Oryzias latipes: one gene and its partner. The protein of the gene in region 2 purifies or fractionates together with the protein of the main gene of each other region. This does not show direct contact. Links are inferred from orthologs where the notes say so. Each region holds a gene or a part of one and is shown on either strand. Other genes may lie near its edges.

Region 1 (4,601 bases), on a different chromosome or scaffold from region 2:
ATTATTATTCAAATCAGTCCAAATCATTTTATTGCAATCTCTAGATAATAGAAAAATATGATTTAACACTCAGAAAAATTAGTTTTATTATTCAATTTTAAGGATGATATTTTAAAATTCAATTCAATGAGGAAACCTTTAACTGAATTGACAGCAGAACTCCTGTCACTACCGTTGTATAAAAACAGAGGGAGATCCAATTAAATCTGTTAAAACATATTCATGTGGACAAACATCATATTCTAATTTTATTCTAAACTGAGTCTTTTGCACCTTTTACACTAGTTCTTTGTCACTGTAATCAAAAGTAACAATACAAATACAAGAACCTCACATAGAATACAATCCATTTGCTTAAAAATAGCAAAACAAACATTTAATTTGAAATAATTCTACTTTTTTTTTCCTTTTATGAACGTTTGATTGGAACCATTTGTAACTTGATTGACATATTTGTATTGTGAAAAATCATTGATCATTAAAAATGAATCGCTGGAAAGAAGCGATTCCTGTTTTCAGGAGGTAAAACACAGACGGGACCTTTGATCTCGGACCTGTCACTCACACAGACGGGACCTTTGATCTCGGACCTGTCACTCAGGGCCCGTCAGGAGGGGGTGGGCCGGAACTCACCCGGTGCTGCTGTGGGTTGCTCCGCGCGGCGCGCGGACCGTGGGGTTCTGGCTGGAGGACCCGCGCCGTCTGCCACGAGCATCGGAGCAGCCGCAGATCCTGCAGCCGCTGTAGGCAGCGGGAAACCTTCATGGTGGAGCCATGAAACCCACCGTCCAGATGGTAGATCCACACAGACAGACAGACAGCGACGGCTATCGAAAGAAAGACGGACTCAGGGAGGTCTGAGCGCGTGCCAGGATCACAAGCACCAAAATGTCTCCCACTAGTTATCAGTGACTCCCGGAAGAGATTAAAAAATGAAGCAAAGTGACAAGAAAACACTCAAAACACACCTGAAAACGAGTCTCCTTCAAAACAACCACACGGCGGCAGCTTACCGGGGAACCAACGTCCTCTGTCCGGCACCTTTTTCCTTCCCCCTCACAACAGAGAAAAACAGCAACAATCGTTCCGCAGGTCCGGAGAAGAAAGTTCCGCGCTGTGCTGCCCGGTGATTTTAGACAGAGAAAATGTAAATATTTGTTTACGTAAATACTAACCGTTCTTCCTAACATAAAATACGTCTTAGCAGCAGCAGGAAAAGGCAGAGAGGTGCAGAGATTCAAACCCCAAACCCTCCTGTCAAGGCTGGTGGCAAGTGTTCAACCAGGTGGATTTTAATGTGACAAAAGCTCAGCAAGAGGGAAGATAAATAAATGTCATTCATAAAGTAATAGTGCCCCCCCCCAAAGCTAGTCAGGAGAGGCCTCCAAAGTTTAGTAGAGAAGAATTTAACTTAGAAAAAAGTGGAAAGCCGTTAAAAAAACAGGTTTGCTTTGATAGTTTTGAGGGAAGTTTTATCAAACGATAATTAATGCAATAATCGTTGAGCACTAAATGTTTGAGTAATATTAATTTCTGGAATGTTGTCATGTCTTTTTGTCAGAAGTTACAAACTAGAATATGATAAATATGTAAAAACAAGTTAAATAAAGCACAATAGGGGTGGGTTTATGTTCATTAGCTTTCTCTTACTCCTCAAATAATTAAACTCTTTTGGAAAATAAATTTTAATTTAATAGGTTTAATATGTCGTGTATTGTTTATATAAGTGCAAATATTTATGATTAAGAGTAACTATAAAGGAATATATGTTTGCAACTGTTTTTATATGTTTTACTTTTTAGATTTTTTAATCACTTCGTGACAAATCAGCTTGAGTTTGATATACTTGATCTATACATAAATGTCTTTTGTTTGTCTTTTCGGTTTTGATCGCTTGAAATAAATCAAATCCAAACGGCCTTTTTATTTGTGTATTGGGCCTTTATTTTGGAAGGCTGGACCAGAGAAATGGTTCATAGAATTTAATCTGTTTTTTAAACCAAGAAACTGTGATGTAACTATTGTCAGAAGAGCCCAAAAATGGGATTTTTATTCATTTCTCCTTGATGTGAAATCTGTCTGATGCATTCAGATATTATCTGATCCTCCTGTCTGTTTACCCAGCTGCAGGGAAGGACAATGGGGGGGAGGGGGGTAGTCGGATTGTGTTTTGGGAGTTTGGTTAAGTCTGGTGAGGCTGAACGTGGTCATGTGATCCTCCCAGCGGCGGACATCAAACGGGATCAGCAGCAGCAGATGCTTTATTCAGCAACATGCAGTTCCGGATGACGCCACGCGGGGGCGACAGAAACAGCGGCGCTGAGGCAGCAGCAGGCATCGCCGCGCTGCATGAGCTGAAAACTCCACACTAACATTTTTCGCTCTGGCTGTCAGCGTCCGGGGGGGTTTCTGGGGCTGGGGGGCTGCAGCACTGACATGACAGCGGTATGTCCCGCTGATGGATCCCTGTGAGTTCTGCTGTCAGTTTGGGAGTCGGTAATCCGGTTGCAGGGCTCGCGGGGTTCCTCCTGGCGCGTGAAGCGCGCGGCTGTGAGCGGCATTCACGTTTCCGGTGTGCTGCAGCGCCCGCAGTTGACTGGAGCCTTTGTGAGACACTCCCGCGTGAGCATGGAAAACACACCTTAAAGTATAAAAACACAAACCTTTGGCCGCACCGCGCCTCTCAACCGGATCATGGACTCCTCCACCAACAGTCTGGGTGAGTAGTTCTGCTCCGAACCAGCCGAACTTTAGCGCCAGCCCCGCTGCTTCTGACTGACTGGTTCCGATCCACTGCTCCTGCGGGGAGCAGTCATCCTGGAGTTTTTTTGTAAATGTCCGGTTGGTGGAGGACTTCAGAACATTTGTTTGGGTTCTGTTCACAACTTTCTCTTTCCGTTTCTTGGCTCCGGTTCGGTTCTGACAGTAGTTGGTTTGTCTTCAGCCCGCTTTTCACCTGCAAACGGCCGCGTAAAGCTCCGCGTCGAGCGAGGCGCAGAGATGTGTGCCGCGGGCGCAGCGCCGTGCGTGGGTGTGCGGGGCTGAAGTCATATTTGCGGTTTGGAAGCAGCGCTTTATCTCATGACCTGAAGGCGGTTCTGAGGAATGCCTTCACTTTCGGATCAGCAAACACGGCCCGGATGACAGCAGCGGGTCGGGCTCCGCTCCACGGGACAGACAGAAGCGGCTTTTGTTGCACATCTGGGGCCTCTGCGGGGCCTGCGGGGCCCTTCTGTGCTGATGCCTTAAACGTCTGGGAACGTCTCGTGCGCTCAGATTCCCGCAGCTTTCATTTGGAGGCTCTTAGATTCAGCTGGAGGCGCTTCTTGTTTCCGTTTTTGCATCAATGAGCTGCAGCTCCTGCAGAACTCTGGCTGAAGGTGTCAGGAGCAGCGGAGACCCCACCTGAGGATGTGGACTTCCCCTATAGGCCTCATTCTGTCCATCACGTCTGTCATCCTCCTCCGTTTAGACCAGAGTACTGACTGTACAACAGAAATAACGTCAAAATACCTCGATGGGTGTGTACTCCAATCCACTCATCTTCTTCTCTTCCTTTGGGTGTTTCCCTTCAGGGTCTCCACAGCCAATCAGCTTCCTCTGTCTGTCTCCTGCATCCTCTACCAGCAGCTACCTTCATGTCTTCCTTCATCCAGAGTCCTCCTCTCTGGTCTTCCTCTAGACTCAGCATCCTTCAGTCTGTCCTCTGGACATGTCCCAACCATCTCAGTCTTACCTCTAACGCAGGGGTCCCCAGACTTTTCAGAGACGTTTCCATCCTCTGATGGGGGCCGTGGTCAGTTTGAAACAGAGAAAGTGTGACAGTCGCAGGGGGGCCTAAATGTAAACTGAGAGCCACACAGAACCAAATGTTAACAAGCCGATCTGTTACTAAATAATCCTCTCTGGGTTCTTTACATAAAAAGTCAGTAAATATAAAGTAACAGTATTTTAGATTTTAGAAAATCAATAATAACCACATAAATCTCTGTAGTTGTTCACAGAAATAGAGCTTCTGTTGTCCGTGCACAATCTCAGGTTCAACTTCAGTTGTGGAGCAGAATCTCCTAAATGACTCATGTGATCAGTCTCTTTAGGTTTTTGTGTTCTTTCCTTATAATCCAGTCTTGGATGTTTCCAGGAGGCTCGCCTATAAAACCCTGTCTGCTCTCTCTGATCAACTTCCTAAGTTCAATGCAGTAGCAACATTTTTGGCTTGGCTCACATTTCAATTCAAATAAGATAACTTTATTTATCCCACAATGGAGAAATCTTAATGGGAAAGCTTTATTGACATTTTCCATGCTTCCATGAGTCTCAATCACGTGGCCAGCCTAAAAAAATAATAATGCAAAAGAAAAAAAAAGGGGGGGGGGGGTCTCTCTCTGAGACCCTTTTCAGTGGGCCGGGTCAAATGGGCCGGGCCGTAGTTTGGGGACCCCTGCTCTAACGTGTGCTGATTCCAGCTCAGACGAGGAAAGAAGATGTCATCATCAGCAAAAGCAGATCATCAGAATCAGAATCACCATTCCAAGACTAGAATCAATTACAGCATCTAAACATAGAGCGGGAACATAGTTAGCAAAAAGGAAGTGTGCTGG
Region 2 (3,210 bases):
ACAGGTGATTATCAGAGACAAAGATTTAATAATACTTTAACGTTTGAATAACCACATTTCTAGTTTAGATAAGGGTAAAAAAGAAATTATCAGAAGTCCTCTTATAAGTGTTTGATCAGGAACCAGTGGTGTAGGACCTAATATGCAAGAGACCAGGCATGCTGGCAGGAACTATAACATTTATTAAATAAACTCAAGCATGGTGAAGAAAAACCCCACGGAGAAACAAAAGTGAGGCAAAGCAAAGCAGATGAACTGAAAAGCAGACCGTTAAATATGCAGAGAGGACAATTAACTGAAATGAAGACAGCTGTGGATCATGATGAACCTGGAACTGGCGTGACTGACAGAGCAGCTCAGAACATGACCAAAAAAAACAAAAAAAAAACAAACTTAACCACAGAATTCTCACACGTTTGGTAAAGCAACACTATCTAATATAATAGTGGCTATTTTTTTTTTTATTTCACTTAAACGCTTTCCTTAGAATAAGCTCCGTTTGGGATCCATGAAACCAAATGTATGAGAAGAATAATAATGAGAAATTTGTAGCCACATAATAACTACCAGGTGATTTGTCATCAAAACTATTTTCAGAACATGGTTTTATACTTCTTAATTAGCTGACAGTTGATCCGTTCAGGATTAAATCTAATAGGACAGGCGTTAGGAGGCAGTTGTTTTCATATGTTTTCAATGACAACAAGGAAGTTTCATTTGTAGAAACCAAGTTTTGATGTTGATTATGTAACTTGAAGATGCTCCTTACGTTTTGTTTTTTTTTATATTAGGAGCAGTTTGGAGTTAATTAGTTGCTTCTCTGCACTCATTACAACAGCATGTGGAGTGGTTTTGTTCGTAGATAAAAGCTAATCATTTCCCCTTAAATGTGTACAGATAGACTCAAAATGTATTTTTTAATTTTGATTGAATACACTGCTGTTTGTTCTTATGTCATTTATTATTATTTTCAGCAATTTATTTAAAATGGAACAGTTTCTAAAAACACAAAACAACATTTTTCTTCTCTAACTTCATCTGTTACATCCAGGTGTGTGTGGGTGGAAAACGCCGTAAGGATGAGATCAGCGTGGACAGCCTGGACTTTAGCAAAAAGATCCTTCACACAACATGGCACCCATACGAGAACATCATTGCTGTAGCCGCCACCAACAACCTCTACATCTTCCAGGATAAGGTGAACTAAAAAGGCCTTGAGCCTGAGCTCAGCACCTGTTGAGCCGACTATCCAGTGACTAAAGACGACAGCATGGATGATGGGAAGGACTGACGTGAAGAAAACCCTTCATTCCATCATTTCAGTTCCAGCTCAGTTTGCCAGATGGATACATAAAAGGACGGAATGCAGGAAATTTATGCAACCTGAGGATTGCTGCATGAATTCTGTCATGAAGCAGCCCTCTAGATCCTTCAGAAAACGGAAAACCTGAACAGAAGACACAGAAACCGAGCTACCATGACGATGACTCTTTGTCATGAAGCAACAGTGCCCCCTTGTTTTTTGTCAGTCTGCTCATGCTTCACCGCATGTGATGAACCCTGCAGCCTCTGATGGAGGTGAAGTCGGACAGCCTAACCTGCTGGCTTTTAATCATTGACCCGCTTTTTTCTCCAGTGGTGCAGGCCTCATTTGTACCAGTTTTGTGTCTCCTTGTCGAGACTGATGTGGTCGGTAATGTGAACGAAACCCTTAAAGGTTGTGTCAATTGTTTAATTTAATGCTGTAGTTTTGTTGAGTCCTTCTCTCGGTCATTGAGTCTGTTTAGAAGCTGTGGTGCCTTCTTTTGGTGTGTGGGTTCGATGTCGTAGGACTGGGCATGGGGAGGAGGGGACTGTGTGAATGTTTAAAAAAAAAGTTTGGACTTTTCTCCTTTTTTCTTTTCTTCTTTATTCTCTCTTTAAAGGGAAAATGTCAACAGAAAAGCTCCAAAAAAAGCAGCCTGAAGCACTGTAGTCAAGATTTACCATAGCACCTGATTAAATGCTTTTGAGCTCAGGTGATTTGTACAAAGCTAAAATACAGTCTGTCTGATGTCACCAGTTTGCAAAAGACATGAAAATATTGCAAAGTTGTTCTAAAAACAAATACAGAATCCTAGCCTCATGTTACCTTGTTTGTATAGTGCGGAAAACGATCTGCAATTTCAAAACGGATCCGATCAAACTGTTCAACCTAACTTGCAATTACAGTGTTAGAAGAGCACCTTTCTGCATGCGGCTGATCTGGCTCCGATTAAACTGTCAGTCTGCATACGGTCACAAACATCTACAGGTTATTTGAGGCGCTATGCAGCTAGAGGGTTATACGGTGCAGCGGCGGGTTGTCTCACAACACTCGACTCAAACTGTTCAGAGACAGATGCTTGTCTCAGATTGGTCACAGGAGCTGACTCTCCCAAAGCAAGGCAGTCAAAGGTCTAACTGAACTCTCTGAAATCAGGGAATAAGTAAGTGTGATTTCTTTAACTGTAATATCTTCTAAACAACCTCCTTTGTGACTCTATCATTGAAGAAGAAAAAAAAAACTTTTATAGCTCAGAATGTATTGAAATGCAATGAAATACCATGCAGTCTTTATGCTTACTGGACTTTCTTTGAATAAAAAAAATAATAAAGATGTGCAAGCTCACTTTCTGTCCTTCTTGGACTTCATCCGTAACCATTTGTCACATTCGAACATACAGGTAAGTCTTAAAAAGTTCTCCCTACCATGACAAAGGTGGATAAAGGTGGAAAGATTTCATGTAATCCATGGACACCAGTGAGGTTCACAAATCATTGAAGAAAAAAGGTTCAGCGCACTGTCTAGTGGGTCTAGATGACCCCACTCCCAATGTTAAAGTGCCTAGGATAGCACAAGGGTTAAAGGGTTCCAGTCTGAGTAAGTAGGCCTTGAAATCACATGAGAGAGTGCTGACCTGACAGATCTTTAGAGGACAGTCATCAACACCATTCAGGAGGGAAAACCCCAAAGATACGTTGCTGAACCAGCTGGTTTTCCACAGAGTGCTGTATCCAAGCATATTAAGAGATAAGTCAACTAAAAAAAGAATTTTGGTAGAAAATGATACACCATTAACAGGAATAACCACAGCCTTGAGAAGATTGTTGAGAAAAATCTATGTGAGAATATAGGGGAGCATCATCAAGAGTGGTCTGAGCAGAGCAGACAAAGAAGAGTAGTAAAGG

The links. Proteins that work in one complex are often made in the same cells at the same time.
Region 1: the proteins of serine/threonine-protein phosphatase 2A 55 kDa regulatory subunit B beta isoform (region 2) and ecsit purify together in Homo sapiens (affinity purification with mass spectrometry; 3 studies listed by BioGRID and IntAct, with this or other methods). This does not show direct contact. The link is inferred for Oryzias latipes from reciprocal best matches to the Homo sapiens genes PPP2R2B and ECSIT.

What each region holds. Positions count from the first base shown.
Region 1 is NC_019876.2:29,030,178-29,034,778, forward strand, and holds the start of ecsit (evolutionarily conserved signaling intermediate in Toll pathway, mitochondrial), read right to left. Parts: upstream 2,941-4,601; 5' UTR 2,720-2,940; coding exon of another isoform or gene 2,695-2,719; 5' UTR 2,664-2,694; exon of another isoform or gene 2,154-2,663; intron 1,064-2,153; exon of another isoform or gene 1,056-1,063; 5' UTR 969-1,055; intron 828-968; 5' UTR 766-827; coding exon 634-765; intron 1-633. Other genes in the region: eml3 (echinoderm microtubule-associated protein-like 3), read left to right, coding at 2,695-2,719.
Region 2 is NC_019868.2:20,553,154-20,556,363, forward strand, and holds the end of serine/threonine-protein phosphatase 2A 55 kDa regulatory subunit B beta isoform, read left to right. Parts: intron 1-1,051; coding exon 1,052-1,207; 3' UTR 1,208-2,650; downstream 2,651-3,210. UniProt on the Homo sapiens protein: The B regulatory subunit might modulate substrate selectivity and catalytic activity, and might also direct the localization of the catalytic enzyme to a particular subcellular compartment.